Saccharomyces cerevisiae S288C: one gene and its partners. Changing the gene in region 1 together with any one later gene gives a genetic interaction. Each region holds a gene or a part of one and is shown in the gene's direction. Other genes may lie near its edges. The genes, in order: HXT3, GRR1 and ROD1.

Region 1 (10,526 bases):
CACCAAATGTATTTAATCAAAAAGAAAACCTTCCAGACTATTTTAAATGGCTCAAATACAAAATACCGCAACTATGCACTTCGTTTTAGGGATCCATCTAATCTGCAAAGTCGGAAAATGGAAACGATCCTATTGACGCGATCCTTATGGGGTAAATTAAAAAAACCTTCACGTTAGGATACTACAGCTGAAGTAAGCGTCTCACGTAGCGCGCAGTCTATTTTTGGAAGTTAGGGGCTAATGATTTTCTACGGCTGCCGAGCATGGATGATGCCTTTATTTAGAAGCATGTAAAAAAAGCGTCTCAAAACACGGAGAAATGCACTAACAATGGGTATACTAGACTTGTTAAATTCAAATTTCGGCGAAAAGAGACTTGTATTTCATTAGTTACTTTTCGTTCAGTTAAGCATGATCGTCTAGGCGTTCCATTAACTAGTATCTTGGTTCTTTATGTAGTTTGAAGTTATCTCTGTAATTAGGCTCCTCATTTGCCAAAGTTAAGTATTGGATGTGTGTGCAGTATGCTTTCATGCCTCTATAGCAAAAATCAATGGCTCTCAAGAAATTTGTCGTAACCCACTTTAGCATATTTATTTACATTTTGTCGGAATATTATTTCTTCTCTACAGAAAAATGAAAGCAACAGAATTGAATTTCGACAAGTCACAAACAAACTTTGTAGACTTTTTATTACAAAAATTTATTAAGTGACATTCACTACTTGTATTATTGTGAGAGAAGTACATAGCACCGGGAATCTTAGACAGGGTTACTACTAACTACAACCCTCATACTGCCTTACGTAGCCAAACAAGAGCAGTTCTCAGATTACAATGGGAGATCATTTGAAAATATCAAAGATTGATCAAGAATATTTTACTGGTGGCATCCGCCCGCCCTTTAATTTCGGAATTTAGTGCTGCTTACAACTCTTCATTTTCCTCATGCGGGACGCCAGCTTTGGTGCGGGATGAAGGCAATATCCAAACCAGCATCAGGAAAAGCCTGAAGAAATGTGGTGCCTAATGCTCTTATCTAATCTGTATCCACACCTTACAGCGAAGTGTTCAATTAACTGTGCGGCTAATTCTGACACTTCATCAAAAATTACACCGGTATATCAAATGGCGGTGTAGTTTGAAAAGTACACTGTATGTCCATTAATAAAATTACGCCGAAGAACACTGACTAGCTATAAATTCTCTTCCGGCGTCCAATTTCAACCTAAGGCAAGTATTGTTAATCAATAATGCGTGTTGGTAAATATGAAGCCCGATGTTGATTAAGAAGAATTATTCGTATAAGAATTAAGCAAGCAAAATTAAGGAAAATTTTTTCTTTCCTATTCGTCATCGCAGACAGCCTTCATCTTCTCGAGATAACACCTGGAGGAGGAGCAATGAAATGAAAGGAAAAAAAAATACTTTCTTTTTCTTGAAAAAAGAAAAAAATTGTAAGATGAGCTATTCGCGGAACATTCTAGCTCGTTTGCATCTTCTTGCATTTGGTAGGTTTTCAATAGTTCGGTAATATTAACGGATACCTACTATTATCCCCTAGTAGGCTCTTTTCACGGAGAAATTCGGGAGTGTTTTTTTTCCGTGCGCATTTTCTTAGCTATATTCTTCCAGCTTCGCCTGCTGCCCGGTCATCGTTCCTGTCACGTAGTTTTTCCGGATTCGTCCGGCTCATATAATACCGCAATAAACACGGAATATCTCGTTCCGCGGATTCGGTTAAACTCTCGGTCGCGGATTATCACAGAGAAAGCTTCGTGGAGAATTTTTCCAGATTTTCCGCTTTCCCCGATGTTGGTATTTCCGGAGGTCATTATACTGACCGCCATTATAATGACTGTACAACGACCTTCTGGAGAAAGAAACAACTCAATAACGATGTGGGACATTGGGGGCCCACTCAAAAAATCTGGGGACTATATCCCCAGAGAATTTCTCCAGAAGAGAAGAAAAGTCAAAGTTTTTTTTCGCTTGGGGGTTGCATATAAATACAGGCGCTGTTTTATCTTCAGCATGAATATTCCATAATTTTACTTAATAGCTTTTCATAAATAATAGAATCACAAACAAAATTTACATCTGAGTTAAACAATCATGAATTCAACTCCAGATTTAATATCTCCACAAAAGTCAAGTGAGAATTCGAATGCTGACCTGCCTTCGAATAGCTCTCAGGTAATGAACATGCCTGAAGAAAAAGGTGTTCAAGATGATTTCCAAGCTGAGGCCGACCAAGTACTTACCAACCCAAATACAGGTAAAGGTGCATATGTCACTGTGTCTATCTGTTGTGTTATGGTTGCCTTCGGTGGTTTCGTTTTCGGTTGGGATACTGGTACCATTTCTGGTTTCGTCGCCCAAACTGATTTCTTGAGAAGATTCGGTATGAAGCATAAAGATGGTAGTTATTATTTGTCTAAGGTTAGAACTGGTTTAATTGTCTCCATTTTCAACATTGGTTGTGCCATTGGTGGTATTATTTTGGCTAAATTGGGTGATATGTACGGTCGTAAAATGGGTTTGATTGTCGTTGTTGTTATCTACATCATCGGTATTATTATTCAAATTGCATCCATCAACAAATGGTACCAATATTTCATCGGTAGAATTATTTCCGGTTTGGGTGTTGGTGGTATTGCCGTTTTATCTCCTATGTTGATTTCTGAAGTCGCTCCTAAGGAAATGAGAGGTACTTTAGTCTCCTGTTACCAACTGATGATTACCTTGGGTATTTTCTTGGGTTACTGTACCAACTTCGGTACTAAGAACTACTCCAACTCTGTGCAATGGAGAGTTCCATTAGGTTTGTGTTTTGCCTGGGCTTTGTTTATGATCGGTGGTATGACTTTCGTTCCAGAATCCCCACGTTATTTGGTTGAAGCTGGTCAAATTGACGAAGCAAGAGCATCTCTTTCCAAAGTTAACAAGGTTGCCCCAGACCATCCATTCATTCAACAAGAGTTGGAAGTTATTGAAGCTAGTGTTGAAGAAGCTAGAGCTGCTGGTTCAGCATCATGGGGTGAGTTGTTCACTGGTAAGCCGGCCATGTTTAAGCGTACTATGATGGGTATCATGATCCAATCTCTACAACAATTGACTGGTGATAACTATTTCTTCTACTATGGTACTACCGTTTTTAACGCTGTTGGTATGAGTGATTCTTTCGAAACTTCTATTGTTTTCGGTGTCGTCAACTTCTTCTCTACTTGTTGTTCTTTGTACACTGTCGATCGTTTTGGACGTCGTAACTGTTTGTTATATGGTGCCATTGGTATGGTCTGCTGTTATGTAGTTTACGCTTCTGTTGGTGTCACCAGACTATGGCCAAATGGTGAAGGTAATGGTTCATCCAAGGGTGCTGGTAACTGTATGATTGTCTTTGCCTGTTTCTATATTTTCTGTTTTGCTACCACTTGGGCTCCAATTGCTTATGTTGTTATTTCTGAAACTTTCCCATTGAGAGTCAAGTCTAAGGCTATGTCTATTGCTACAGCTGCTAATTGGTTGTGGGGTTTCTTGATTGGTTTCTTCACTCCATTTATTACTGGTGCTATTAACTTCTACTACGGTTACGTTTTCATGGGCTGTATGGTTTTCGCCTACTTCTACGTTTTCTTCTTTGTGCCAGAAACTAAGGGTTTGACTTTGGAAGAAGTCAATGATATGTACGCTGAAGGTGTTCTACCATGGAAGTCTGCTTCATGGGTTCCAACATCTCAAAGAGGTGCTAACTACGATGCTGATGCATTGATGCATGATGACCAGCCATTCTACAAGAAAATGTTCGGCAAGAAATAATTTCACGCTAAACCGTAGTGCTGAATAATAGTGTATTTTAAGATTCGATGTGCTAGTCAATAATGATAAATAATACACAAGATTTATGACTTTATATATATAATTCTCTGATACAGTTAATAAAAGACATTGGTACATGATATCAAACAGAATTTTAACATTTCTTGATCCAGTTTGTAAACAAAACAAACAATTTTTCTACCATTTAACTTCATACCATCGGCGAGAGCCGAACAGGAAAAAAAAGAAGTCTCCGGTTATCGTAAGCAGTATCAAATAATAAGAATGTATGTGTGTGCAATTTGTTATACCCACGAAGAAGTGCGCAGTAGAGTTAGAAAACCAACTGAGTAATCTTTACTCCCGACAATCGTCCAATAATCCTCTTGTTGCTAGGAACGTGATGATGGATTTCGTTTGAAATCCGGACGGAAAACTCAAAAGAAGTCCAACCACCAACCATTTTCGAGCCTCAAGAATCTCTAAGCAGGTTTCTTTACTAAGGGGATGGCCTTTCTGTCCTGGACATTTTTTCCTTCCTTTTTTCATTTCCTTGAAAGGAACAGATTTTTTTTGACTTTTGCCACACAGCTGCACTATCTCAACCCCTTTTACATTTTAAGTTTTCGGGTTGAATGGCATCAAATTTGGGAAAATTTAGCTTACTCAGACACCAACACATTTTTTCATGAGTATTGTTGGAAAATCTTTCCATGCTTATCAGCCGGAATACGGAACAACGGCTGCTGTGATGCCGCAAAGGGGCAAGGAAAAAATAAGCAACACACACCGAAACAGGAGGAAGAAATTCCGAACACAAGCCTAAGAAGACACCGCAGTTGTTGCAACATGTTCACATGTTCATCCCCCTGCTACTACTTGGAAATTAATGTAGGGGTAATTGGAGTGCGCCGGCCCGTGCTTTCAGAGGAACAAAGGAAGAATTGTTAAAAAAAGGCAGTGACAACGAGCACGGGTGCACCATATGGTGTGATAAGCAACCTAGGACAAAAAGAAGTGCGCAGTTCCTGTGTGCGGCGCCAAGACAAATGTTTCATATGCTTCTCCAAGGGGCTACGCTACCTAGCCTCACCACCCGATCTCTTTTTTTCCTGAACGCAGAGGGGACCGTACGAAAAAAAATGTTTTTTAGGCAACGGAGATTCGTTTTATCCACGTTTACCCCACAAAAAGTGCAGGTACATTGTGGGGCCCCGGCATCGAAAACCAGTTTTTTTCCTTTAAACGCTGGAAAAAAAGGAGAAATTATTGGAACTTTGCAGAGAATAGTCCGTAGGCAAATTGAAAATGTTCCTTAAAAAATTTCGTTTCTTACTCATTGAGATTATTCAGATGCCCTCCGTGCCTTCATTGAAAAAAATCCAAGAGATGTCTCGGATCTGTATGCAGATTTTGGCTTGCAGACAATGGAGAGCAAATGGGTATACAATATAGAAAGCACAGAAACATATAAAAAGAGCTCGAGAAAAGACATATGGTTTGTAACTATCTTCTTCTTTTTTCCAATTTTTCTGTTTTAATAATAAAAAAACAAGAACAAACAAGCTCAACTTGTCTTTTCTAAGAACAAAGAATAAACACAAAAACAAAAAGTTTTTTTAATTTTAATCAAAAAATGTCACAAGACGCTGCTATTGCAGAGCAAACTCCTGTGGAGCATCTCTCTGCTGTTGACTCAGCCTCCCACTCGGTTTTATCTACACCATCAAACAAGGCTGAAAGAGATGAAATAAAAGCTTATGGTGAAGGTGAAGAGCACGAACCTGTCGTTGAAATTCCAAAGAGACCAGCTTCTGCCTATGTCACTGTCTCTATTATGTGTATCATGATCGCCTTTGGTGGTTTCGTTTTCGGTTGGGATACTGGTACCATTTCTGGTTTCATCAATCAAACCGATTTCATCAGAAGATTTGGTATGAAGCATAAAGATGGTACTAATTATTTGTCTAAGGTTAGAACTGGTTTGATTGTCTCCATTTTCAACATTGGTTGTGCCATTGGTGGTATTATTCTTTCCAAATTGGGTGATATGTACGGTCGTAAGGTGGGTTTGATTGTCGTTGTTGTCATCTACATCATCGGTATTATTATTCAAATTGCATCTATCAACAAATGGTACCAATATTTCATCGGTAGAATTATTTCCGGTTTGGGTGTTGGTGGTATTGCCGTTTTATCTCCTATGTTGATTTCTGAAGTATCCCCAAAGCATTTAAGGGGTACTTTAGTCTCTTGCTACCAATTGATGATTACTGCCGGTATTTTCTTGGGTTACTGTACCAACTTCGGTACTAAGAACTACTCCAACTCTGTGCAATGGAGAGTTCCATTAGGTTTGTGTTTTGCCTGGGCTTTGTTTATGATTGGTGGTATGACATTTGTTCCAGAGTCTCCACGTTATTTGGCTGAAGTCGGTAAGATCGAAGAAGCCAAACGTTCTATTGCCGTTTCTAACAAGGTTGCTGTTGATGATCCATCTGTTTTGGCTGAAGTCGAAGCTGTCTTGGCTGGTGTAGAGGCAGAGAAATTAGCTGGTAATGCATCCTGGGGTGAATTGTTTAGTAGCAAGACAAAGGTCCTTCAGCGTTTGATCATGGGTGCTATGATTCAATCTCTACAACAATTGACAGGTGATAACTATTTCTTCTACTATGGTACTACTATTTTCAAGGCTGTTGGTTTGAGTGACTCTTTCGAAACCTCTATTGTCTTGGGTATTGTTAACTTTGCTTCCACCTTTGTTGGTATTTACGTTGTTGAGAGATATGGTCGTCGTACTTGTTTGCTATGGGGTGCTGCATCCATGACTGCTTGTATGGTTGTCTATGCTTCCGTGGGTGTCACCAGATTATGGCCAAATGGTCAAGACCAACCATCTTCCAAGGGTGCTGGTAACTGTATGATTGTCTTTGCCTGTTTCTATATTTTCTGTTTTGCTACTACATGGGCTCCAATTCCTTATGTCGTTGTTTCTGAAACTTTCCCATTGAGAGTCAAGTCTAAGGCTATGTCTATTGCTACAGCTGCTAATTGGTTGTGGGGTTTCTTGATTGGTTTCTTCACTCCATTTATTACTGGTGCTATTAACTTCTACTACGGTTACGTTTTCATGGGCTGTTTGGTCTTCATGTTCTTCTATGTTTTGTTAGTTGTTCCAGAAACTAAGGGTTTGACTTTGGAAGAAGTCAACACCATGTGGGAAGAAGGTGTTCTACCATGGAAGTCTGCCTCATGGGTTCCACCATCTAGAAGAGGTGCCAACTACGACGCTGAAGAAATGGCTCACGATGATAAGCCATTGTACAAGAGAATGTTCAGCACCAAATAATTTGCGAACATTTTTATTAATTCATGATCACGCTCTAATTTGTGCATTTGAAATGCACTCTAATTCTGATTTTATATTTTTAATGAACCCTTACGATTTATATTGTATGGCAAGATGTTGCCAATAGAAGTATAATTTTTTATTAATTTTTTTTCTTTTCTAAGCTTTGAAGAAAAGTTAACAGCTTTACCCTTCAAAGTTATTGTTTTGTAGCGCTAGAAGCGAAGTAGGCGCTCTTTCTCGCATAAGCTACCTTAGGAGGAAAAAAAAAGTCTTCTATTATAAACAAAGTACTCTATAATTCATCAAAAAAATTAATTATGAGCCGGAGCTTTTCACAATCAGTGTACATATGCAGGGCTCACCTCGGTACTGCGCTTTTCTACCTGAAATTAAATAGAGTCACCTCATTACAATGAAGCTACTAAACTCCTCAATGTTAAACTGGCATTGCGACAGAGTAGAGAAGGCTTGTCAATAAACCTGAATTTTTGGTAATAAAAAGAAAATGGGGATCATATTAGGCCTTTATGATCATCCTTGGCAAACTACATCCCATATATGTTTGAAAAAGGGTTAATGATATGAAAATGTTTTTATTTAATAAGAAATGATGTACTACTGGCGGCGATTGGTAAAGAGGATCTAAGTTTTCTTTCCTGGCAGATGATAAACAGTTAGCATTCCCCAAAAAAAATAATTTCACCTTGTTAAAAAGGTAATTTGCGAGAAAACATGAACAGTCTGCCCCTTAATGAACAGTTTTTGGCCAAAGTCCTATTCGAATATATTTTAGTGGAAGAAAATCTTGTAGGCTGTAAACTTATTGATAGGCCCATTTGGTACTATTATATGTTATTTCAGCAACAATTTATGGAAAGGTTGCCGTAAGTAACCTTTAGATGGCAGGAAGGAAAAAAATCATGCTTTAAGAGTGGCTTCAGTAGCTAAAAAGGTAGTATACATCGCACAGTGAATATTCGCCCCAATGGACGGAAAAGTTCATGCAAGATTAAACGCAGTACCAGAAAGCCGCGTTTGTATGGTTTTATTGGCGTCCATACAAATAACTTATTAGCGGGGTGACAATTCAGAGACAATTCTAATGTCGAAAAGTGTACCATCACTAAAGTATTCCAGGGACTTCTGCCCACCACGTAGAAACGCGTTGTTGAATTATTTGACACAGTAATTTACCTAACTGGTCAAATGATTCTGTCTACTTCATTGGCTATTTTTCGATTTCTTTAACCTGCGACAGGAATTCAACAATGTTTAAACAAAAAATTCTGACAGCTAACTAGTAATTTTTGACATAAAATAATGATTATCTTCACCATGATAGAAATGCAGGACACGTAGTAAAAAGAAGAGATTTTTCCTTCTAGTACCGCGTGCTCAATACCACACTTTTGCAAAAATGCATCGATATATTAGGTAAACTCAAACAACGAAAGGAGGAATAGGCATTCGATATTGCTATTTTCAAATTGTATGCTGACGTCAACTTTTTATTAAGGATATGATAAAATCAACAAATGCCAACTTCTTCAACTTTTAGAAAGTACGAAATGCTAATAATCTTTTGTTCGTATGCTCCCTGAGTTACAATTCTAAGATCATTTTTGTGTTCGGTCACCAGCAACACTATATAACGAAATAACAGTTGCCATATTCGTTTTCTGTCTTGTTGAAGCTCAGATTGCTCAAGAAATAAAATAATTACTACATGAGACAAAAAATCTCATGGGAGCAAAATTTTCAACGCATGTTCAGACCATTTTTTTTTGCCGATGAGTGAGTAATCGCCAATGGGTCTTAATCAATTACAGATCTTAAACAGTCGTTTGGTTTTCGATGCTCAAGGGATCGGACCAGCAATAATCGGAAGAAGAGATCAAACAATCGGTCATTAGTCTCAAAGAACATGCAAGCTAACACAATGTTAGTGAGGAAGAGATAAAAGTGTGGGGTGATGGTTGTTCCTTATGTTTATTACAGGAGAACGTTAAGTGAACTCTGAGAACTAACTGCAGCAGCTTGATTCTCCGCCTGTTTACTTGGAAAAGAAATGGGAACAAAAAAGGTACTGCATTTTTTTCCGGTTCTTTTCTCCACCTAGGATGAGGAGTAATTTGCCTTAATGGGGGATTAAATCCGGGGCTTTCCAAAGCGGGACCCATTTAATTCCACCTTCGGATTTTTTTGCATAAACTCTCAATTTCCCCGCGATCCATCTGCCGAATGGTGCACTCTACGGAAAAATACAGTAAGAAAAAAAAAAGTCCTGTAATCTTCAAGTCTTAGATTGACAGGAACGTTAATATTTTTCCTGATCTATGTTTGACAAGTATGGTAATTGATAAAATTACGCATATACTGCCAATAGCCCTAAGTGATAGTAGTCGGAAGAAAACAAAATGGCAAGCAGTTGACAGCAAAAATTGTTAGCGTATCCTATGGGTGGTGGAAAGAAAAGTTTATTAAGCTAGTATTATGTGTTTTTACTTTCTCACGGAAAAATTCTCTAGAAGAAAAGCGATTTTATTTTTTTATTTTTATTATACTTAGCATCTCGAAAAATTTCATTCACACGGTGAAAAGAAATTCCGAATGAATTAAGATCGCATTTAATTTCTTGATGTCTACATTAACAGGCTGCACAAAACAACCCTAGAAAATAGTACTCTCATCGCTAAGATCATTTGGGGTTGTTAAGCATGCCCTGCTAAACACGCCCTACTAAACACTTCAAAAGCAACTTAAAATATTTTTATCTAATTATAGCTAAAACCCAATGTGAAAGACATATCATACTGTAAAAGTGAAAAAGCAGCACCGTTGAACGCCGCAAGAGTGCTCCCATAACGCTTTACTAGAGGGCTAGATTTTAATGGCCCCTTCATGGAGAAGTTATGAGGACAAATCCCACTACAGAAAGCGCAACAAATTTTTTTTTCCGTAACAACAAACATCTCATCTAGTTTCTGCCTTAAACAAAGCCGCAGCCAGAGCCGTTTTTCCGCCATATTTATCCAGGATTGTTCCATACGGCTCCGTCAGAGGCTGCTACGGGATGTTTTTTTTTTACCCCGTGGAAATGAGGGGTATGCAGGAATTTGTGCGGGGTAGGAAATCTTTTTTTTTTTTAGGAGGAACAACTGGTGGAAGAATGCCCACACTTCTCAGAAATGCATGCAGTGGCAGCACGCTAATTCGAAAAAATTCTCCAGAAAGGCAACGCAAAATTTTTTTTCCAGGGAATAAACTTTTTATGACCCACTACTTCTCGTAGGAACAATTTCGGGCCCCTGCGTGTTCTTCTGAGGTTCATCTTTTACATTTGCTTCTGCTGGATA
Region 2 (12,460 bases), on another chromosome or scaffold:
CTTATACTACGAACTGGAGTGGAAGGGGTCATTTTATCTTCTTCGAAATCGTCGAACATGTTCAAAGTGATGGCATCACTATTATTCATGCCCTCTGGACGAGAGTCAGTATCGCTGAAACTTGCCTCATATCCTTTAATGCTTGCAGCTAGCGCAATTGAAACATCCTTAACTGGTGTTTTCAGCATTCCAATCCCCAAACCAGTCCTTGGTTCAGTTATACGCTCTTCTCTAATTTTTTCCAAATCTGCGTCATCTTTAGTATCTGATTCTAATAATTTTTGCAGGACGTCGGGGGCAATAGGTTGCTTTCTTATGGAAGGTGGCGGTTTTAGTTCGTAACTGCTTTCCCAAAGAGAATTGAAGCTTTTCTTTGAACTGTCTCTTTGAAAACTGGATGAATCATCCGGCCCATGATTGAAAGATGTGGAGTCATGATCCAAAGCGTCTAGAAAATTAGCAAAATCCTGACCCAATTCCTCATCAAAGGATAAAGATAGTAAATCGCCCCTATTAAAAGTGATATCACCCGCACTCTCTATTTCCCGAATGGAAATTTCAGCTTCGTCCTGGGTATTGGTTGGTAATTTCTGTTCATCGAGGCCTACATTTGTTGTGATATCTTGTTCGCTTAGGTGCGTACTTAATGGGATATTTTCGTGTTCTTGCGGTTGTTCTACCTCCAAGAAATGATTCTGAAAACCAGAATCTTCGCCATTAAGTTTCATGATGCTTGGCCTAATAAGTGGAGCGTGACCCTTTTGAGTTCTTATGTTATCTTGAATCCTTTTAGAGATGAGTGTATTTCTTCTCATAGGGTCGAGTGCATTCCATTCACTGTTGCTTAAAATGTAATCTTCATTATCGTAGTAATTCAATGAGGATACTCTGCTTTTTGGATTGTAAATCCTACTCCTGCTCACTATTCTAGGTTTGAATTTGAACGAAGTTGATCCATTATCCTTCTTAGAATCGACCGTAGATGCAGTGGTAATCGAGGATTGTTGTGAAAATTGGGAGTTGGCAATGGATTCTGGTGAATTGGATTTGATTTCCTCTTCTTGGATATGCCATATAGAAATGTAATCTGATGGTTTCATGGATCTGGTTAAATCGATGGAATCATTGGAGGTATCATTTTCATCTATAAATGGCTCGTTGAATTGAATTTCTTCCCATCTTGGCAGGGGTGGTAAGAGGGGAACGTGTTCCGGCTCTTCATTTTCTTCGACTTTATGGTACTCACTTTCATCTTTCTCGGTTTCAATGTTCTCATCCTTAGTTTCAACTTCCTTCTCTTCAATTCTGTCTTTATTACGAGCCTCGCTCACCGACTGATCTTCACATGATGATGAAAGATCATGTTCTTCTGCAGAAGTTTTTGCCAATGGTTCATTCACTTCAGCGGCCTCTCCATGGTCGACACCAATTTCACTGCCATTTATTATATTTTCTTCTGGACTCTTTGTTCTTTGTCCATACAGGCTCTCCTCGTGTTGAACGATTCGGTATTCCTCTCCATCCTTAAAGTTCCTTTGGAATTCACTTTCATTATTTAGTTCAGTGAATGTTTCTTCTGAAGAATCCTTTTGAGGAATTATTGCCGGTTGTTCATTTGCATGTTCACTTTCTTGATGAAGCTTTTTGGTATCCCAGTCTTCTTGTCTCGTTACTTTATAGTCAGCAATGTAGCTTTCCTCTGACTTTGTAGATGTTGAAATATTTGCGTCTGTTTCTTTGTCTTCATTCCATACGTCATCCGATGTAGCATTAAGATCTTTGAATTTGGGTTCACTGTGCGCTAGAGAATCTTCCTGTGAAAATTCTTGAACATTAGCATTGGTCCCTTTATTAGAGTATACTATGGACCTAGTGTCATTTTCACCCAAAAAGGTAACGGGCTCATTGCTGCAACCTTCGTCAAGAACTTTTTTCTCATCAAAAGCATCATCGATATGTTCCATATTCTGTTGAAGGTCCCGCACAACATCGTTTTCAATAAGCGCATCCGCATCAGTAGTGACTGGATTATTTTGGCTGGAATCAGCACCCGGCAGATTCGTTGAAATGTTTAAATCCTCCACAGAGGCTGTTGGCGATCTTGAATCAGAATGTGAATTGTTACTAGTGTTCAACAATTTACTTGGAAGGTTACATTTCTCATCGACTGGCGTCATTTCGGGCGTTGATGACATACAAAATGGTAATTCTGGGATTGTTTTCGTATCTAGTTCTCGTCCTGTGCTATCAACTGAGGTGTCAGATACTAGACTTTTGTCTGATTCGTTGGGATTCAATGTGAAATCAAGATTGAGCTTATTAATCGACACTGCGTTAGTTATTGGAATCCTTGATGGAGAGTGTAATATTTGAGGTGACTGTGTTAAACATGTGTATGCATCTTCTTCCTCTTCATCTTCGTCATCGTAATTCGTTTCAATTTCAATAGAACTTCTGTGGATGGGCGATTCTGGATACGACAGCAGTGGTTGAGTCGATTTCAAAGTAAATTTAAGGGGAGAGCTGCTAAGTTTTACGGGCTTTTCCTCATCACGGGCTAGTTTATCTATATCTTGTGCCATATTTTTCAGATTATTAAGCACTTTGGGAGAATTGGCATGACCAAGTGCCCCGTTGGCAACAGAGTTTTTAATCCGTTCCTGATGCACAGCGGCTGGAGACTCTTCAAGTTCCGAATTTACACGTAAGAGACCCAAATTAAGGCTTTCATTTGAGATGGTAGACATCTTAGAAGGTGATCGACCTCTACTATTTTCTGTAGCATTCGACCTAGTATTGTGTTTGACCAACATTTCCATGGTATCATCGCCTATTTCCTGCAGCGGAAGCTTCCAGTTGTGTGGTGTATCTTCGGAACCATTTTGCGTGATATTAGACTTTGTTTGTTCCATTTCATTGTCTATCTCCTTCAGTAGAGAATCTACGGTACTCTCTGCGTCGTGCATGCTTCTGTACTTTTGTTTTTATATAATTTAATGAACTAAAAAATTCTTCTTGCACAGACTGAATCAAAGAAATATACACCAAACCAACGAAGTTTAGTGAATGGAGATGTTCCCTTCTAAGTGTTTCCTTTGCATAAATAAACATTATTGTTTTCTCGAGGAATATTTCATTGTTGTTTACCTTTTTCCAAATCGGGTCATCTATTCGTTCCTCGCGACAATGTCTCTTTTTCATTTGGACAAATTACCCGCCGACAATTATTGGGACAAAGGGGGGCGTTTCTCGTAGGATGACCAATGGCGCATAGAGATGAATAGTTAAAACAATAAGAGGCACTTCGAGAGATTTGTGTGTATGTGTGAGAAAGAGCGTGAACGTCTATTTATTCCTTCTTAAGATGGATAAAAGTAAGCAGATGAACATCAACAACTTGTCCAACATCCCCGAGGTGATTGACCCTGGCATCACTATCCCAATATACGAGGAAGAATACGAGAACAATGGAGAGAGTAATAGCCAACTGCAGCAACAACCCCAAAAGCTTGGATCATATAGGTCGCGAGCAGGAAAATTTTCTAATACATTGAGTAACCTTTTGCCCTCCATCAGTGCCAAGTTACACCATTCGAAGAAAAATAGTCACGGAAAGAACGGTGCTGAGTTTTCCTCTAGCAACAACAGTTCCCAATCTACGGTGGCGTCCAAGACACCAAGGGCCAGCCCTTCCAGGAGTAAGATGATGGAAAGTTCTATAGACGGTGTAACTATGGATAGACCTGGCAGTTTAACCCCTCCTCAAGACATGGAAAAATTGGTGCATTTTCCTGACTCGAGTAATAACTTCTTAATTCCTGCCCCCCGAGGATCTAGCGACTCGTTTAACTTGCCACATCAGATCTCGAGGACGAGAAACAACACAATGTCTTCTCAGATAACTTCCATTTCATCAATCGCCCCCAAGCCTCGTACTTCGAGCGGAATATGGTCTTCAAATGCTAGTGCGAACGATCCCATGCAACAGCACCTTTTGCAACAATTGCAACCTACGACAAGCAATAATACAACTAATTCAAACACGCTCAACGATTATTCGACAAAAACTGCATATTTTGACAACATGGTATCTACTAGTGGAAGCCAAATGGCAGATAATAAGATGAATACGAATAACTTGGCTATCCCAAACTCTGTTTGGTCAAATACCAGACAGAGATCTCAATCCAACGCGTCTAGCATATATACCGACGCTCCACTGTACGAACAGCCCGCTCGTGCCAGTATTTCATCGCACTATACTATTCCAACACAGGAATCTCCATTGATTGCTGATGAAATAGATCCGCAATCCATCAATTGGGTAACAATGGACCCCACTGTACCATCAATAAACCAAATATCGAACCTTTTACCCACAAATACCATTTCTATTTCCAACGTTTTTCCCCTACAGCACCAGCAGCCACAATTAAATAACGCGATAAACTTAACAAGTACTTCCTTGGCAACCCTATGCTCCAAATATGGTGAAGTCATATCTGCTAGGACTTTAAGGAATTTAAACATGGCTTTAGTTGAATTTTCTTCCGTGGAAAGTGCCGTAAAAGCCTTAGATAGTTTACAGGGCAAGGAGGTATCTATGATTGGAGCACCAAGTAAAATTTCATTTGCCAAAATCTTACCTATGCATCAACAACCCCCACAATTTCTTCTCAATTCTCAAGGCTTGCCATTGGGTTTAGAAAACAACAATTTGCAACCACAGCCTTTATTACAGGAGCAGTTATTCAATGGAGCTGTGACTTTCCAACAACAAGGAAATGTTTCTATACCTGTATTTAACCAGCAATCACAACAATCGCAGCACCAAAACCATAGTTCGGGTTCTGCTGGTTTTAGCAATGTTCTCCATGGTTATAATAATAACAATAGTATGCACGGAAACAACAATAACTCAGCAAATGAAAAAGAACAATGTCCTTTCCCTCTACCACCACCTAACGTTAACGAAAAGGAAGATTTGTTAAGAGAGATCATCGAACTTTTTGAAGCAAATTCCGATGAATACCAAATCAATTCGTTGATAAAAAAATCGCTGAATCACAAAGGCACTTCCGATACGCAAAACTTTGGACCTTTACCAGAACCATTGTCTGGCAGGGAGTTCGATCCACCAAAATTACGCGAATTGCGAAAATCAATCGATTCAAACGCATTTTCCGACTTAGAGATCGAACAGTTGGCTATTGCAATGCTTGACGAATTGCCCGAATTGAGTTCAGATTACTTGGGTAACACTATCGTTCAAAAATTATTTGAACATTCATCTGATATTATTAAAGACATCATGCTGAGGAAAACAAGCAAATACCTAACCTCTATGGGTGTTCACAAAAACGGAACATGGGCTTGTCAGAAGATGATCACTATGGCGCATACTCCGAGACAAATCATGCAAGTGACGCAAGGGGTCAAGGACTACTGTACTCCATTAATCAATGACCAATTCGGAAATTATGTCATACAGTGCGTTTTGAAATTTGGATTCCCCTGGAACCAGTTTATTTTTGAAAGTATAATAGCTAATTTTTGGGTTATTGTTCAGAATAGATATGGTGCAAGGGCAGTCAGAGCTTGTTTAGAGGCACATGACATTGTAACTCCTGAACAATCAATAGTTTTGAGTGCAATGATCGTTACATATGCTGAATATCTAAGCACTAATAGCAATGGTGCGTTGTTAGTAACGTGGTTTTTAGATACTAGTGTTTTACCCAACAGACATTCTATCTTGGCACCAAGATTGACGAAAAGAATTGTAGAGTTATGTGGCCACAGATTGGCTTCTTTGACTATTTTGAAGGTCTTGAATTACAGAGGGGATGATAACGCTAGAAAAATCATCCTAGATTCCCTATTTGGAAACGTGAACGCACACGATTCTTCGCCACCAAAGGAATTAACAAAGCTTTTATGTGAAACAAATTATGGCCCAACCTTTGTCCATAAAGTTTTAGCAATGCCATTATTAGAAGATGACTTAAGAGCCCACATCATTAAACAAGTCAGAAAAGTATTGACGGATTCTACTCAAATCCAACCAAGCCGCCGTTTATTGGAAGAAGTCGGGTTGGCATCACCCTCTAGTACTCATAACAAGACAAAACAACAACAGCAGCAGCATCATAACAGCAGCATTTCGCACATGTTCGCCACTCCTGATACTTCTGGACAACACATGAGAGGTCTTTCTGTTTCTAGCGTTAAAAGTGGTGGATCTAAACATACCACAATGAACACCACGACTACAAATGGTTCTTCTGCCTCTACATTATCCCCGGGCCAACCATTGAATGCCAATTCTAATTCTTCAATGGGCTATTTTAGTTATCCTGGCGTCTTCCCTGTCAGCGGCTTTTCAGGCAACGCCAGTAATGGATATGCTATGAACAACGATGACTTAAGTTCCCAGTTTGATATGCTAAACTTTAATAACGGAACCCGTTTATCGTTGCCACAACTGAGCCTAACTAACCATAACAACACTACTATGGAATTAGTAAACAATGTTGGCTCCTCACAACCTCATACGAACAACAACAACAATAATAACAACACGAACTATAACGACGATAACACCGTTTTTGAAACTCTGACTTTACACTCTGCAAACTGACGTCCCCATGTTTTCTTTTATTTCCGTCATCATTGGGAGACCACGCCGTTTTCTTCTCATACCTGCATCCATTCAAAACTATCTCATTTACCCCCAACGGTTTTATGGTTCAAATCCTAATAGAATATGAGCGAGCTAATGAAGAATTTGGGCATTTTCATTACTGGGAAGACGTGTCTTTTTCAAGCCATCATATCGCCAAATTTTTTTTCTACACCTAATCATGATTAAATAAATCCATAAAGTTTTATACAGTTTTTAAAAATATCATCATTTATTACCCAGATGTGTTAATGAACATTTATAGTCATCATTACTAGGCTTTCATTACTACTGAGGTTACCCGCCTATGGACCTTCCTTGGTAAAGGAACTTGTTTTAAAATTTGCCTTTTAACAAATTTAGTGATATGATTATCAAAAAAGGCGTGGCAAAATACATAACACCAAATTTAACTGTGCCTGTGTGTTACTTTCTTTTGTCCATACTTCACCAGTTTTTCGATTTTACACAATAATTCGTTTTCATTTAATCGTTCTCTTAGAAGCCCGGTTTTTGAATATCAAAATCGTACTTGTGTCCAACTAGCAGGGAAGCCCAAAAATTAAGGCATTGCATTTAAGCTTACACCTGCGTGAAATCTTGAAATTTCTCATTGATTTCGGCACAATAATTATCATTGGTAGTGAGGCTAAACAGTTTTGCGGTTTCCTTTATACTAAGAAGGTCTATAATGGATCAGGATAACAACAACCACAATGACAGCAATAGGCTGCACCCACCTGATATACATCCAAATTTGGGCCCTCAATTGTGGCTGAATAGTAGCGGTGATTTTGACGACAACAACAACAACAACAACAACAACAACAATAATAATAGCACAAGACCACAAATGCCATCACGAACTAGAGAAACGGCAACTTCGGAAAGAAATGCAAGTGAGGTTAGGGATGCAACGCTAAATAATATCTTTAGGTTCGATAGTATTCAACGGGAAACGCTTTTGCCAACCAACAACGGACAACCGCTAAATCAAAACTTTTCGCTGACATTTCAACCACAACAGCAAACAAATGCGCTGAACGGGATTGACATAAACACTGTGAACACAAACCTTATGAATGGTGTCAATGTTCAAATAGATCAACTTAATCGATTGTTACCGAACCTACCAGAGGAAGAACGGAAGCAAATCCACGAATTCAAGCTAATAGTGGGCAAAAAAATCCAAGAGTTTCTGGTTGTTATAGAGAAACGTAGAAAAAAAATACTGAACGAAATTGAGCTAGACAACCTTAAACTAAAGGAGCTACGTATTGATAACTCCCCACAAGCAATTAGTTATTTGCATAAATTACAAAGAATGAGGCTTAGGGCGCTAGAGACAGAAAACATGGAAATTAGAAATTTAAGGCTAAAAATATTAACAATTATAGAAGAGTACAAAAAGTCATTATATGCATACTGCCATTCCAAGCTAAGAGGTCAACAAGTGGAAAATCCAACAGATAATTTCATCATTTGGATAAACTCCATAGATACTACTGAATCATCTGACTTGAAAGAAGGGCTACAAGATCTTTCGAGATATTCAAGGCAGTTCATAAATAATGTGCTTTCGAATCCATCAAATCAAAACATATGTACGAGTGTCACCCGAAGATCACCTGTGTTTGCCCTAAACATGCTACCCTCGGAAATATTACACTTAATATTAGATAAACTTAACCAAAAATATGATATTGTAAAATTCCTTACCGTTTCCAAACTCTGGGCTGAAATAATTGTGAAGATACTTTATTACAGACCGCACATCAACAAAAAGAGTCAATTAGACTTGTTTTTAAGGACTATGAAGTTAACTTCTGAAGAAACTGTATTCAACTATCGTTTAATGATCAAAAGATTAAATTTTTCATTTGTTGGTGACTACATGCACGATACAGAGCTTAACTATTTTGTCGGATGTAAGAATTTGGAGCGACTAACTTTAGTATTTTGCAAGCATATAACCAGTGTTCCAATATCGGCTGTTTTGAGAGGATGTAAATTTCTCCAAAGTGTGGATATCACTGGAATAAGAGACGTTTCCGATGACGTATTTGATACCTTAGCGACATATTGTCCCAGAGTACAGGGCTTTTATGTTCCTCAGGCAAGGAATGTAACATTCGATTCACTGCGGAATTTCATAGTCCATTCCCCGATGTTGAAAAGAATAAAAATCACAGCAAACAATAACATGAATGACGAATTAGTAGAACTATTAGCCAACAAATGCCCTTTGCTTGTAGAGGTCGATATAACATTAAGTCCAAATGTCACTGATTCTAGTTTGTTAAAACTCCTCACTAGGTTAGTTCAGCTGAGGGAATTCAGAATAACTCATAATACGAATATTACGGATAATCTTTTCCAGGAGCTTTCTAAAGTAGTTGACGATATGCCCTCTTTAAGATTGATTGATCTTTCTGGATGTGAAAATATTACAGATAAAACTATAGAAAGTATAGTCAATTTAGCCCCTAAATTACGTAATGTTTTTCTAGGCAAGTGTAGCCGAATTACAGATGCATCGTTGTTCCAATTATCGAAGCTGGGCAAAAACTTGCAAACAGTGCATTTTGGGCACTGTTTCAATATAACTGATAACGGGGTAAGAGCACTCTTTCATTCATGTACAAGAATACAGTATGTGGACTTTGCGTGCTGTACGAATTTAACCAATAGAACTCTTTATGAACTAGCAGACTTACCAAAATTAAAGAGAATTGGCCTTGTCAAATGTACGCAAATGACTGACGAGGGTTTGTTGAATATGGTTTCCTTGCGAGGCCGAAATGATACTTTAGAAAGGGTACATTTATCTTACTGTTCTAATTTAACAATATATCCGATATATGAGCTTCTAATGTCTTGCCCAAGGCTCTCACATTTGTCTTTGACTGCTGTTCCGTCATTTTTACGCCCCGATATAACGATGTATTGCAGGCCTGCACCCTCAGACTTTAGTGAAAATCAACGTCAAATATTCTGCGTATTTTCAGGGAAAGGTGTTCATAAACTTCGCCATTATTTAGTAAATTTAACGTCGCCCGCTTTTGGACCACATGTCGATGTAAATGATGTTTTGACAAAATATATTAGATCCAAGAATTTGATATTTAACGGTGAAACACTTGAAGATGCTCTTAGGAGAATCATAACTGATTTAAATCAAGATTCCGCTGCAATTATAGCTGCTACAGGATTAAATCAAATCAACGGTCTAAATAACGATTTTCTTTTCCAGAATATCAATTTTGAACGAATAGATGAAGTATTCAGTTGGTATCTCAATACTTTTGATGGCATTAGGATGAGCTCGGAGGAAGTTAACTCACTATTATTGCAAGTAAACAAGACGTTTTGTGAAGATCCATTTAGTGATGTGGACGATGATCAAGATTATGTCGTAGCACCTGGTGTAAACCGGGAAATTAACAGTGAAATGTGTCATATTGTTAGAAAATTCCATGAGTTAAATGATCATATTGATGATTTCGAGGTGAATGTTGCTAGTTTGGTAAGAGTTCAGTTTCAGTTTACTGGTTTTTTACTTCATGAAATGACTCAAACCTATATGCAAATGATTGAATTAAACAGACAAATTTGTTTAGTACAAAAAACGGTTCAGGAATCGGGCAACATAGATTACCAAAAAGGGCTTTTAATATGGCGACTTTTATTCATTGACAAATTCATTATGGTGGTTCAGAAGTACAAGCTCTCCACCGTTGTTTTGAGACTATATTTAAAAGATAACATAACATTGTTAACCAGACAAAGAGAACTATTAATAGCCCACCAAAGATCAGCATGGAATAACAATAATGACAATGACGCCAACCGGAACGCCAACAACATAGTGAATATTGTATCGGATGCTGGGGCAAACGATACAAGTAACAATGAAACTAACAATGGTAATGATGACAATGAAACAGAAAATCCAAATTTCTGGCGTCAGTTTGGCAATAGAATGCAAATATCACCTGACCAGATGAGGAATCTCCAAATGGGACTTCGTAATCAGAACATGGTTAGGAACAATAACAACAACACAATTGACGAATCAATGCCTGACACTGCCATTGATTCTCAAATGGATGAAGCATCAGGAACGCCCGATGAAGATATGTTATAATTGTATTTCATTGAATACTTACTGTCCTACTACACCTTTATTTTCAAAATCCCACTTTTCTTACTTATTTACATATAAATACATAATGCATTCACTTTGAAACTTTTTGCCTTAGCATGTATACGCTATAGACTTGCGGTATCAACGAATATACGTAACGTTGTCACGTCCACAGAAGATGCTATGTCAACAGTTCCCTGCAGATATCTGCGATGCGGCGAAACATTCTATACACAGTTTCAAAACTACAAAAAATACAAACCTTTAGCCTGTTTATCAAATTAGTTAGCTATAAAATGCCCATTTTCTTAGCAATATCGATCAATTGATTGTCATCTTCCAAAGTTTCAATAAAATTTGTGGCAGTATAGTAATCCCTTCTCAATATGTCCAATTTCTTATCACAGTCATCTATAAATTCGCGCTTAATAGATTGCACTTTTAGGTTCACCCAATTGTTGAATGTCATGTCCAACTCTTCTGCAGGCATTTGCTTAATCAAAAAAGCCAGATCACCGTCTTTGTCATTAGCTAGCGTAGCATCATTATTATTTATATATTTTAACAAATCATGGAAGTAATTTTTTACAAGGTGTCTATTTTCATCAATTTTAAACCATTCTGCTGCATTCGGTTCTTTTTCGTTGTTGCCCTCATTAAATGAACTTCCTTTCTTAGAATTATCAGCCAAACTTGTGCTTGTTTCCTTTCTTTGTTCTTCTAAACGTGAATTCCGTGGATATGAAGAGGTTCCAGACACCAAATTCCTTGCAACTGATGGGACTGGCTCAAATTCGGGTTTAATAACCTTTTTTATTTCTACAGTTGATGAATCTATAGGTATATCCAATTCCTTCCCAGAAAACTCTTCATCAAATAATTTTCTTGACTTGTTTTCTTGAGATGCGATCGGGGTTCCAGTCTCAAAAAGTAACATTTCATTATTTGGGGTCTCATTCTTCACAGACACATCTTCCAGTATTTTTATAGTTTCCTGCTTATTAGTAAAATACTTACCATCGTCAGTTTCTTTTTTGAGGCCAGAAAGCTCTTTGACTGCATGCAAACTGCGTGTGAGATTAATTTTAGGGCTCGCTACCGGCGTTGAAATAACGCTTGAGCTTTTTGATGATTGCTCAGATTGTGATGATGGTGAAAAATCGGACGCCGAAAAATTTAGATCTATATTGATGTTATCTAATTTTCTTTCTGTTGGAACAACTTTTCCACTTATTGATAGGCTTCTTGGTTCTTGCAAGTTTTTCCTTGGTTTAGGATGAATATCAGCGGGAATGCTGGATGTTTTGCTATTGCCTCTCCTTTGTTCCTCTTTGGGTATTGCGGTAATATTACTGGAATTATCACCACTTTTATTAGAATGTAATATATCTGGAGATTGCCGTACAGTTGAATCTTTTTGATGTCGAAATTCCCCGTTTTGTGCTTCCCTCTTTTCAGAGTTATCTCTAATTAACTCATGTGTCTTTGGAACTTCTGGGGATCCACCATTGGGGACCTTATCTCTGTCGATATCACCCAAATTCTGATCTACAATTTGCGTTCTTATAAGAATATTAGTACTACTGTCTCTACCTGTGAGTTTCACTTCACTGAAATTTAAATCTTCTTCA
Region 3 (11,348 bases), on another chromosome or scaffold:
TAAGGTTTGTGGAAAGTCCTGATTTCAATCATCAGATTGCTAAACAATATATTGATCAGGACTTTATTTTAAAGTTACTGGAATTATTTGATAGCGAAGATATCAGAGAAAGAGACTGTTTGAAAACGACACTGCATAGAATATATGGGAAGTTCTTATCATTAAGAAGCTTTATTCGTCGGTCGATGAATAATATTTTTTTGCAATTTATTTATGAGACTGAGAAGTTTAACGGTGTGGCAGAATTGTTAGAAATTTTGGGTTCCATAATTAATGGATTTGCACTTCCATTAAAGGAAGAGCACAAGGTTTTCTTGGTGAGGATATTGATACCATTACACAAGGTCCGTTGTTTATCATTATACCACCCTCAGTTGGCTTACTGTATCGTTCAATTTCTCGAAAAAGATCCTTTATTAACCGAAGAGGTAGTTATGGGCTTACTGCGTTATTGGCCAAAAATAAATTCCACAAAAGAGATAATGTTTCTAAATGAAATCGAGGATATTTTTGAAGTGATCGAACCGCTGGAATTTATTAAAGTAGAAGTTCCGTTATTTGTTCAATTAGCTAAGTGTATTTCTTCTCCACATTTCCAAGTGGCGGAAAAGGTTTTAAGTTATTGGAATAATGAATATTTCTTAAACTTATGTATCGAAAATGCCGAAGTCATCCTACCCATTATATTTCCTGCATTATATGAATTAACTTCTCAGTTAGAGCTAGATACAGCAAATGGCGAAGATAGCATTTCAGACCCTTACATGCTTGTTGAGCAAGCAATCAATTCTGGTTCGTGGAATAGGGCAATTCATGCTATGGCATTCAAGGCATTGAAAATTTTTCTGGAAACAAACCCAGTATTGTACGAAAACTGTAATGCATTGTACTTATCAAGTGTAAAAGAAACTCAACAGCGTAAGGTGCAACGTGAAGAAAATTGGAGCAAACTTGAAGAATATGTAAAAAATCTAAGGATTAACAATGATAAGGACCAATACACAATCAAAAACCCAGAATTAAGAAACAGTTTCAACACAGCAAGTGAGAATAACACATTAAATGAAGAGAACGAAAATGATTGTGACAGCGAGATACAGTGAAACAGCAATTCATTACAAGCTCGAAGAAGTGAGGAAGTTTAGGGCATGCCACATTTCAAAAGAGCAGCAGTATATGAAGAGCAAAAAAGAACTGGTAAATGGGGTCAACTTGTTGAAGAAACCAAAGATAGAATCCCCGAATATTCGAACAAAACTATAGCAAAGATAAGCCACTTGGACAATGGTTGTTTGTGGCCTGAGATAAAGGTCTCTTTTTCTCATCATTTGAGCATACTTCAATCGATGTGTCTTCATTTTATTATTTCTATACTTTTCTCCAAATATATCTTCGTTTTTCTTTTCGCTTTCCTTCTTCCTTCTGCCTTTCCTCTATTTATTTTGCACTCCACTCTTTTCCGTAAACCTTGCCTATCTATTATTGGATTTTTGAAAACTAAAGTATAAAGGTATGTCATAAATAATTAAATAACAAAAAAAATAGGATCATGATACAAAAAAGTGCCTTCCCCTTAGCACAGCTGATCCAACAATTTTAAGAGCTTGAAAAGCAACCTATACGTAGTTTTTTTGGCGACTGGTAAAAAAGAACTGAATAATTAATGCCTGCACTATACTGATACCAACCATTACCCCCATAATTAGTAATGAGAGCCATGTTAATCTTGACTCAGTAGAACTCACAGTATACATGTTTCTCCATTCTCTAGCCCTTAAATAATCCATTGTTTTGGTGATCTTATTCAGGTTCCTATCAATTTCCTCGATGGCGTTGTTTGCGATTATGTCCTCTTTGCTTTCATGGGAAGAAACAATTTCCTTTTCCTTTTCGAGGGTGATTTCAACTTTCTTTGGGGAAGTGCCGTAGTTATTACTCAAACAGAAAGTGTACTTACCTATACCAAACGACTTCAGTAGAAAATCAGAATGCTTCTTTTGTCTTTCAGTGACGATAACAGAGCCATCAGGGGCGGTAATATCGAAGTCTATCTCGAAATTCCCACCTGTCAAAACTTGGTAACTGACCACAAGGACATCTTTATCAGAGGATAAATCATAGTAAAGACATTCTTTGGTAAAAGCAGGTAATGATATGCCTACAGGAGCATAATTAGAGGAGAATGCATGTGTTAACAAAGATGAACTAAACAAAATCGCAATCAAAGTAAAAACGCGCATAATTCCTAGCGATGATTGGGAATATATATTTATGAAAAAACTTCACTAGCGCTCGTGAAACTACTTCAAAGGCAGCTGGGAAATAAATGTCTTCAAAGCAGAGAAGAGTTCCCAAATAGAATTCTCAGATCGTCAATCGCTCATCTTTGAGTATATCACGTCAAAAAACAGGAAACAGTGAAAAAAAAGTAGTCCATAATAAAGCGCGTTTCCGTCAATGCCGTTGGTTAATAAAGAAACAAATATGTAAAAATATAATATAAACAGGGCACTTGAGAGAGCACAAAAAAGAGCCAAACGCTACCTGATACTTTTATAGTTTTGATAATGGGGTTCTACAACTGTAGATTCCTGTCCAGACGTCTATCTGTTGAGCCTTGCAGAATAGGTAGCGCCGCTAAAAGCTATCAACAGCGATCGATTTATCACTTTGGCGCTGCTCTCACAAATGCCCCTAGTGGAAGAGAAACACCAGACAAGCTACGTTCTGACCTGCATAGTGCTTTAGAGATGGTCGATGAAATATATGACACAAATTCGACTGTAGAGGACATTGGAAACAAGGAAAAGGGAGGTCGACAAAAATATACGGAAGAAATGGACAAGGCGATTAATCTACTGAAAACAAATATAAAGAAGGAGTATAGACATGATAAGTATTTGGAGCGGACAAAGGTAGGAACGTATCCTGGTAGAAGAACATATCCTGGTAGGAGAACATATCCCGCTAGGAGAACATATCCCGCTAGCAGAACATATTCAGATAGCAATTCATACACTTTTCGGATAAATGTCCAGAAGATTAGGCACGCATTAGTACGTTACAATCAAGATGGTGTTCAAAAACACAACCAAAAGCCTCCTAGGATTGGTCATGGATTAACGAGAGTGTTATACCAACCGTTGTCGCTACAAAAATTGAGAGATAATAGGAGCAGAATGTATAATTTTGACCCTGCAGTGGAAAATATTAATCCAGAGTATTTGGAAAAGAAAAGTGAAAAAGATGTGAACACAGACTCCTCTGGAGAAGGACAAAGCAAGCCAATATTCATCACACCCCACAAAGATGAATCTCTGTTAAAGGTTGCCAAAGAACATAGAAAAAAGTACATATCTTCATCAAGTTCCATGACATCAGTACTTTCTCAGTTGCACTATTTATTATCCAATTTCAGAAGATTGAATATCATTGATTCCTCGATATCGAAAAATTTTCCTCAAAAAAACTGCAATTATTCAGAAAGTGCATATTTTCCGTCAGCAGTCATTCTGAGAAAGAAGAGAAATGGCATTTGTTCTATTGATTCAGATAGAAGTCTGGATAGGGAGATTGTGCTTTCTGTACTAGGTCATTATCTTGAAGACTTTTTAACGGAAAAGTCCCTGAAGAATAGTTCAAAAAGTGAAAATTATCACTATTCTAGTATAGATGAATTCATTGTGAGATCTCAATTGGACGCGTACGACCCAAATCTACCTGGAACGGGTGTATTTGATCTGAAGACAAGAGCAGTTTCTGCCATAAGATACGATTTATCACATGTAGAGAGTAATAACAACCAAACTGGATATGAGATAGATAAAGTTTATGGGGAATTTGAGTCTTTGGAAAGAGAATATTTTGAACTAATCAGGTCTGCCCTTCTAAAGTATTCTTTGCAAGCTAGAATTGGCAAAATGGACGGTATTTTCGTTGCATACCACAATATTTCTAAGATGTTTGGATTCCAATATCTACCTTTGGACGAATTAGATTATATAATCCATTCTTCGTATAACAGCAAATTCGACAGTTTGTTAAAGGAGAAGAATGATATCACAAAAGGGATATATGGTGAGGAGGACTACATTCTACACTATGACAGGGACGATAGGAAAATTGCTTGCTTGGTGGCTAATAGGGAATTTAAGATGTCTATGAATCTGTTCAGTAATATTTTGAAACACGTTGAGCAGTTACTTAACTCAAGTAATACGAAATGGGAAAAATGCAAAATAATGCTTAAAACCGAAGTTGAAGAAAAACGATCCAAAAGTGGCCGCTTCTTTAACGAACCGGTGCTAAATATTGTAGCCCTGCCGTTGTCACCTGAGTACGAGGATAAATCTTTATTGGTAAAGGATACTTCGAACGAACAATTAACAGAGGAGCTACTAAACCTCCGCTCATATAACGAAAATCTTTTGGAGGAACACCTGAATTCCTTAGTTGGATTTAAAGTAAATGTCAAGCATTTCTATCACCATCATCCTAATACTACACATCTACCTGATTTTGCTTTAAAAAAGAACGATATTCTCGACACCGAATCCCGTAAATATATTTCTGACATGATGAAACGAGACTGGTACAAAGATATACCATCTACACAGACTCCAAACTTTTTCCACGCTTCCGATGTTTCCACTTGGGAGGTGAACTCTACTTTTACAGATATCAATGACAAACAAATTTTACGAAAACTATACTTTAAATATTTGGATGTTAAATTAAACGCATTGAAAAATCAAGTAATCACACGTCAGGAACCTGATATGTCTAAAAAGGATGAAATTATGAATCGAATCAAATCACTACAAGCCCGCAATGATCACCGCGATAATGGAAGTAACAAAAGATATTCTAATTTTGGCCCTACCCGACTGCAAACTAAACTGCGCGCATATGCTAAAAAAGGTGCCCTTCGAAGAAAACTATTAGAAAGGAGTAACAAGTTCCATATCTAGAAGACAGTAGTCAGCGTTGGGCAATCTAATGTTATAGGTGAAGTTTTACTACTTTAATGTATTCACTCACAACTTTCGACCTTATGTAATTATTCTATGTATTTTTAGATATGTCCATACAATGCATTATTCTTGTAATTATAACACATATTAATTAAACAATGGGTCAAAAAGAGTCGAGTCCCTTGGTACATATTATGTTACATTACTGATTAAGTTGAATAAAAGCATCTAACTTTAAGGAATCTGCTTTATTTTGAAGACCGAAAACTACGAGTAAAAATAGGAGTTTTAATGCGGATGAATGTCTAACCCCAGAGATGGGTTCTCCGATAAAAACTGAGAAGCTTCCTGTTCACAGTTTTTATAAATTATTTTGTATGGCTGGGCTCTTGCAATTTTCAGCGTTTTTTTATTAAGCGAAAAAAACAGAACAGGGGTCCCCTATTCAAATATAGACGTCAAAAAGATGCAGATCTAAAACTAATTAACAACCATACAGAAATCAACGCGATTTCATCACACCATTCGCTTCTCTTCCTCCATAAGTAATAATGTTTTCATCATCATCTCGACCTTCAAAAGAGCCATTACTATTTGACATCAGACTTAGAAATTTGGACAATGATGTTTTACTGATAAAAGGCCCCCCTGATGAGGCATCTTCTGTCCTACTATCTGGAACTATAGTATTGTCAATTACTGAGCCAATTCAAATCAAGTCTTTGGCTTTGAGACTTTTTGGTAGGTTGAGACTAAATATTCCAACGGTTTTACAAACTGTTCATGGGCCGCATAAGCGATACTCAAAGTTTGAGAGAAACATATATTCTCATTTTTGGGATGATTTTAATATAAAAAGTTATTTCCAAAACTTGTACGATAATCATAATAATGGTAAAATAACAATTTCTAGTAAATCCTCAACAAATTTAGCAGCATTGCCAAAGAGAAAAAGAGCCCTTTCTACTGCATCATTGATATCAAGTAATGGGCAGACAAGCGCAAGCAAAAACTATCACACCTTAGTAAAAGGTAACTACGAATTCCCTTTCAGCGCGATTATTCCTGGGTCATTAGTGGAAAGTGTAGAAGGCCTACCAAATGCTGCCGTCACTTATGCTCTGGAAGCTACTATCGAGAGACCTAAGCAGCCCGACTTGATCTGTAAAAAACATCTAAGAGTTATTCGAACGTTAGCTATAGATGCAGTCGAGTTATCTGAAACAGTATCAGTGGATAACTCATGGCCTGAAAAAGTCGATTATACGATCTCCATTCCAACTAAGGCAATTGCCATTGGCTCTTCCACCATGATCAATATTTTAATTGTTCCTATATTAAAAGGATTGAAGTTAGGCCCTGTTAGGATCAGTTTGGTGGAAAATTCCCAGTATTGTGGTAGCTATGGAGGGGTTATCAACCAAGAAAGAATGGTGGCTAAATTAAAACTAAAAGATCCCCTGAAGCACGTTGCCCAAATAAAGAAGAAGAGGAGCCTAAATGAAGCTGCCGACGAAGGGGTTGATACGGACACAGGGGAATTTCAAGATAAATGGGAAGTTCGAGCTTTATTAAACATACCTGCAAGCCTGACTAAATGCTCCCAAGACTGTCGCATTTTATCTAATATCAAAGTCCGTCATAAGATCAAGTTCACTATAAGTTTACTCAATCCGGACGGTCATATTTCAGAATTGCGTGCGGCACTGCCTGTCCAATTATTCATTTCACCGTTTGTTCCAGTCAATGTAAAGACCTCCGATGTTATTGAAAGAACGCTCAAAACGTTTGGACCCTCATATCAAGTAACAAGTCAGCACGATAATTCATTCAGCAGCAAAAACTTTGTAGACGATAGTGAAGAAGATGTGATTTTTCAAAGATCTGCTTCTGCGTTACAATTGTCTTCAATGCCAACCATAGTATCTGGCTCTACTTTAAATATCAATAGTACTGATGCAGAGGCTACCGCAGTCGCTGACACAACTATGGTAACTAGTTTGATGGTACCTCCCAACTACGGCAATCACGTTTACGATCGAGTGTATGGCGAGGTAACTAATGAAGACGAAACTTCAGCATCAGCTTCTTCAAGTGCCGTCGAATCACAGGCAATTCACAATATTCAAAACCTATATATATCGGATAGTAACAATAGCAATAATCCTATTTTGGCACCAAATCCTCAAATCAAGATTGAAGATGATAGCCTAAATAATTGTGACTCTCGAGGGGACAGCGTTAACAATAGTAACCTGAATCTGGTTAATAGTAATCTAACAATTAGTGAAAATTGGAACAATAACTCTCCTTCTGCAAATAGATATAATAACATCATTAATGCTGGATTGAATAGTCCTTCACTGACACCAAGCTTTGCACATTTATCTAGGCGTAACTCATATAGTCGCCAAACATCTTCTACATCGCTGAAGAACGATTTGGAACTGACAGATTTAAGCAGAGTTCCCTCGTATGATAAAGCAATGAAATCTGATATGATTGGTGAGGATCTTCCACCGGCTTATCCCGAGGAAGAACTTGGAGTTCAAGAAAATAAAAAAATTGAACTAGAAAGGCCACAAATTCTTCATCACAAGTCTACATCCTCTTTGTTGCCACTTCCAGGCTCGAGCAAGAGTTCCAATAATCTGAAAAGATCGTCTAGTAGGACACATTTATCCCACTCTCCATTACCAAGGAATAATAGCGGATCCTCAGTATCATTGCAGCAGTTGGCGAGAAACAACACAGATAGTTCATTTAATCTAAATCTCTCTTTCACTTCAGCAAAAAGCAGCACAGGAAGCAGACATTTTCCGTTTAATATGACAACATCTTTCACTAGTAATTCAAGTTCCAAGAACAATTCACATTTTGATAAAACTGATTCTACATCTGACGCTAATAAGCCAAGAGAAGAGGAAAACTATACGAGCGCAACCCACAATCGAAGGTCACGCTCATCGTCAGTTCGGAGCAACAATAGCAACTCACCATTAAGACAAGGAACAGGTTCATTTGCTAATTTAATGGAGATGTTCACAAAACGGGATCGCTCATAGACTGCTTTATTTTTTGTCTTCGAAATTTCGACAAAAAGATATGAGCAATACTTCATACACGTTTGTACAGTTAAGCATATATACTTTGATAGAGTACTTTCATACCTCATACCACTTGAAAAATGATAATATAATGTTATAATACTACCTCATAATTGCTATAAAGTAAAACAATTCGGCGTTGTAGTTTATGCTTCTATAATCACAAAAAAATTTCACTGAAGTTGTCAGATTCTGCCGCAAGGCTTCTCATAGATTTTGTTAAGTGGTCTTACTCGGTTTTATGGCTTGAAGGTTAACATAATTATGAAAACTTATTGATATCCTCCCCACCCCTAACGTTTTAAAAATGATCTCGTCCAATATGTTTGAGGTGAATAATATCGGACCAGTTCTTGTTTTTAAAAGATAAGAATTGCTCATATTTCCCATACTTGTTGGAAAATTTCTCTCAACAATTGTATGAAGGCAAAATCCCTCAATTGAAACATTAAAATAGTGATTAGAAAAACAGGATTAATCAGTTATACGAACGTATTTTTGAGAGAATATAATGAGAATACAATGAGCTTCAGAAGATCTGTTTTTCTTTACTTGGCACTTCTTCCTCAACAATTATTGGCACTACAAAATTTTCTAATTAAATGTTAAAGATCCCACAGACATCATTCGTATATATCCTCCCATTTTATACGGTTAGCCAACTTTGCGATCCTACGGAAATTGCTATTTTTATAGTCAACTCATTGATCTCGAGCACAGCTGCTCTTTTCTCTCAATGAATTACGTTATATGTTAATCACACAAGCATCAGTTTTTCATCGCAAAAGAAAATATTTAGAGTTCTTGCAATTCAGATGTACCTCAATTAATAACTCAATCACCTCCTATGTTCTTGCTGGTAGTACTGCTTTTGTCTTAATTACTGCTGAATCAGCCTTCTAGAAGACCGTTCTGTTTCAGCCGCTCGCCCCTTTTCAAAGCTTGCGCGGCTGAGTTTTATGAGGGGCGGCTTTTTTGTGAATGGCAATCTACCATTATTAGTAGCAATATGATTTGCAGATAGATACATATATATCCTTCTGGGTTCATGTCTCGTTACCATCCACACTAATGCATAGGACCAGAAAGAAAGGACATCGAATCCAACACGTATTAAAATAAGGACTCCTCATTAAAAAGGCTTTTAATATTCAACTTGCTATAGATCACGCACCCTTTTGGCAAGTCAACCTTAAATTATTATGATTTCTGTTTGCCCACAAAATGACTTGCAAAAATGCTACAGAAGCCTCACATTCGATGTTCCAGGACAACAATTCGAAGAGAGAAATGAACAAAACCTTAAAAAACGGGCCAAAAAGAAAGGCAGTTTCCAACCATCTGTTGCCTTTGACACAGTGCCTTCCACCGCTGGTTATTCTTCTATAGACGACAGCAGGGAAGGATTCAAAGGTGTACCTGTTCCCAACTATTACACGATGGAAGAGTGCTATGACGATGAAACAGACTCTTTTTCGCCAAATTTGCAATATTATTTGAGAGATACATTCCAATCATCACCTTTTCTGAATACTAGAAAAGAGAACAAATCTGAATCCAGTAGTTTTCCAATGAGATCCTCAAAGTTGTTGGAAAAGAATTCTGACATCAAAAAATATTTCTTGGTATCCAAGAATGGAAAAATAGTGAGGAGAGACTATCCAAGCACGCCAGTAATTGTCAACGAAACGTTGATGATAAACAGGTTTGAAAAGAACTGGATAAAGTTATGGCGCCAAAGAAAACTACAAATAAATGAAAGGCTGAATGACAAAAAAAAATGGTTTACTTACCCAGAACTTATCTTCTCTGAAGAGCGTATTAAACCGTTATATAGAGGAGATGATAGTGCACCATGTACAAAAGAACAAAAAAGAAAGCATAAAATACTTCAACAAAAGGTCGGATATCCCAATAACCCTAAGACAATAGTTTGTCACATTAACGGAAAAAAACATACGTGGGTTGCCCTAGACTGGACAGTCTACAAGTTTGCACGAAATCTTGATCACATTGTTGTCATAACTACACTGCCAAAAATGATTTCTAACAGGAAAAAAACTGCAAAAGATGATACAGAATGGGCACCGGGATATCAAAAAGAAGTAATAGATCAAAAATTAAACGACATTTTTGATTATATTTTACAGCTAGTAAAAGTGGTCAAAATATCCGTCAAAATTACTTTAGAAATAATTGTAGGCAAAATTAAAAAAAGTCTGGTAGATGTCATTAATGTCCATACTCCAGATTTCTTAGTTCTTGCTACTTTAAAGCACGAGCGAAATGAGAATCTTATTACATATAAATCCAAAAAGCTGACAGATGTCTTTCCTGTTAGTTATCCGATTCCCACATTTGTTGTTCCCTCGAAACGAATGTATTCGTTCGAACTGAATCTACAAAGAGAAGTAAATGAACATTATGTCTCAAAAAATCATATGAAGCACGAACACACTGACGTTGAGAGCATGAGCAGTTCAATGTTCAAAAAAAATACAATATCAGATATTTCTTCACATATTTCCGTAGATTCGTACGCCGAAGATTTCAAAAGGCAAGGCTACATCAAAAAGCAGTTCAACACCTCTAATGATTCCATTCCAAGAAAATTGACCGGTCTCGCCCAGCATTCAAGAAGGAAGATCACGGGTGATATAGAAAAATTACAAGACGATGAGAAAGATAGAGAATGTACTAAGGAAAAACTTTTGTTGAAGAAAATTGATATCATAATTAGAGAGTCATTGAAGTCTTCTTTAGCGATAGAGACGTTGCCTGGTAAAAATGTATCGCAGTCCAGTCACGGTGACCAAATTTCCAGCTTTAAGAATGCTTTGATAGGCAATGGGTCGAAAAACACAAAGTTTAGAAAATCTTTAATACCATATTCTTCCTCAGAGGAACAAAATACCACAACAACTATTAAACTCAGTAGCTCGCCTACGTCCCAAATCAAGTTTGCAACCTCTGTAAAACACAAAGATGGAAGAGCCGCCCTTGGCAAAGCCAGAAATCTGCCTGATATAAGGCACAGTATTTCCTTCGACAAAGAAAATTCCTTTGATCCATCTGATAAAAGCAGTAGTGTTGATAATAGCATTCCTTTGAGGAAAGTTAAAAGTGCCGGTGCGTTAAGAAAAGTCAAAACTAATGACTCCTCAAGTAGTGCAGGGTCAAAGAAAAGCTCGTCTAGTTTTAGTACTGTGAACACCTTCACTGGGGGTGGAGTTGGGATTTTTAAGGTGTTTAAAAGTGGAAGTTCCTC

What was found.
Region 2: of HXT3 (region 1) and GRR1, extra expression of one rescues a mutant of the other (dosage rescue), as found in Saccharomyces cerevisiae (one study listed by BioGRID).
Region 3: of HXT3 (region 1) and ROD1, changing one suppresses a phenotype caused by changing the other (phenotypic suppression), as found in Saccharomyces cerevisiae (one study listed by BioGRID).

What each region holds. Positions count from the first base shown.
Region 1 is NC_001136.10:1,156,249-1,166,774, reverse strand, and holds HXT3 (hexose transporter HXT3), read left to right. Parts: upstream 1-2,114; coding exon 2,115-3,818; downstream 3,819-10,526. Other genes in the region: YDR344C (uncharacterized protein), read left to right, coding at 4,326-4,769; hexose transporter HXT6, read left to right, coding at 5,455-7,167. UniProt on the Saccharomyces cerevisiae protein: Low-affinity glucose transporter.
Region 2 is NC_001142.9:589,241-601,700, reverse strand, and holds GRR1 (SCF ubiquitin ligase complex subunit GRR1), read left to right. Parts: upstream 1-7,373; coding exon 7,374-10,829; downstream 10,830-12,460. Other genes in the region: BUD4 (Bud4p), read right to left, coding at 1-2,966; JSN1 (Jsn1p), read left to right, coding at 3,365-6,640; BIR1 (survivin), read right to left, coding at 11,119-12,460. UniProt on the Saccharomyces cerevisiae protein: Substrate recognition component of a SCF (SKP1-CUL1-F-box protein) E3 ubiquitin-protein ligase complex which mediates the ubiquitination and subsequent proteasomal degradation of target proteins.
Region 3 is NC_001147.6:358,845-370,192, forward strand, and holds ROD1 (Rod1p), read left to right. Parts: upstream 1-5,524; coding exon 5,525-8,038; downstream 8,039-11,348. Other genes in the region: protein phosphatase 2A regulatory subunit RTS1, read left to right, coding at 1-1,103; YOR015W (uncharacterized protein), read left to right, coding at 1,149-1,508; ERP4 (Erp4p), read right to left, coding at 1,617-2,240; PET127 (Pet127p), read left to right, coding at 2,568-4,970; YOR019W (uncharacterized protein), read left to right, coding at 9,283-11,348. UniProt on the Saccharomyces cerevisiae protein: Mediates resistance to o-dinitrobenzene, calcium and zinc.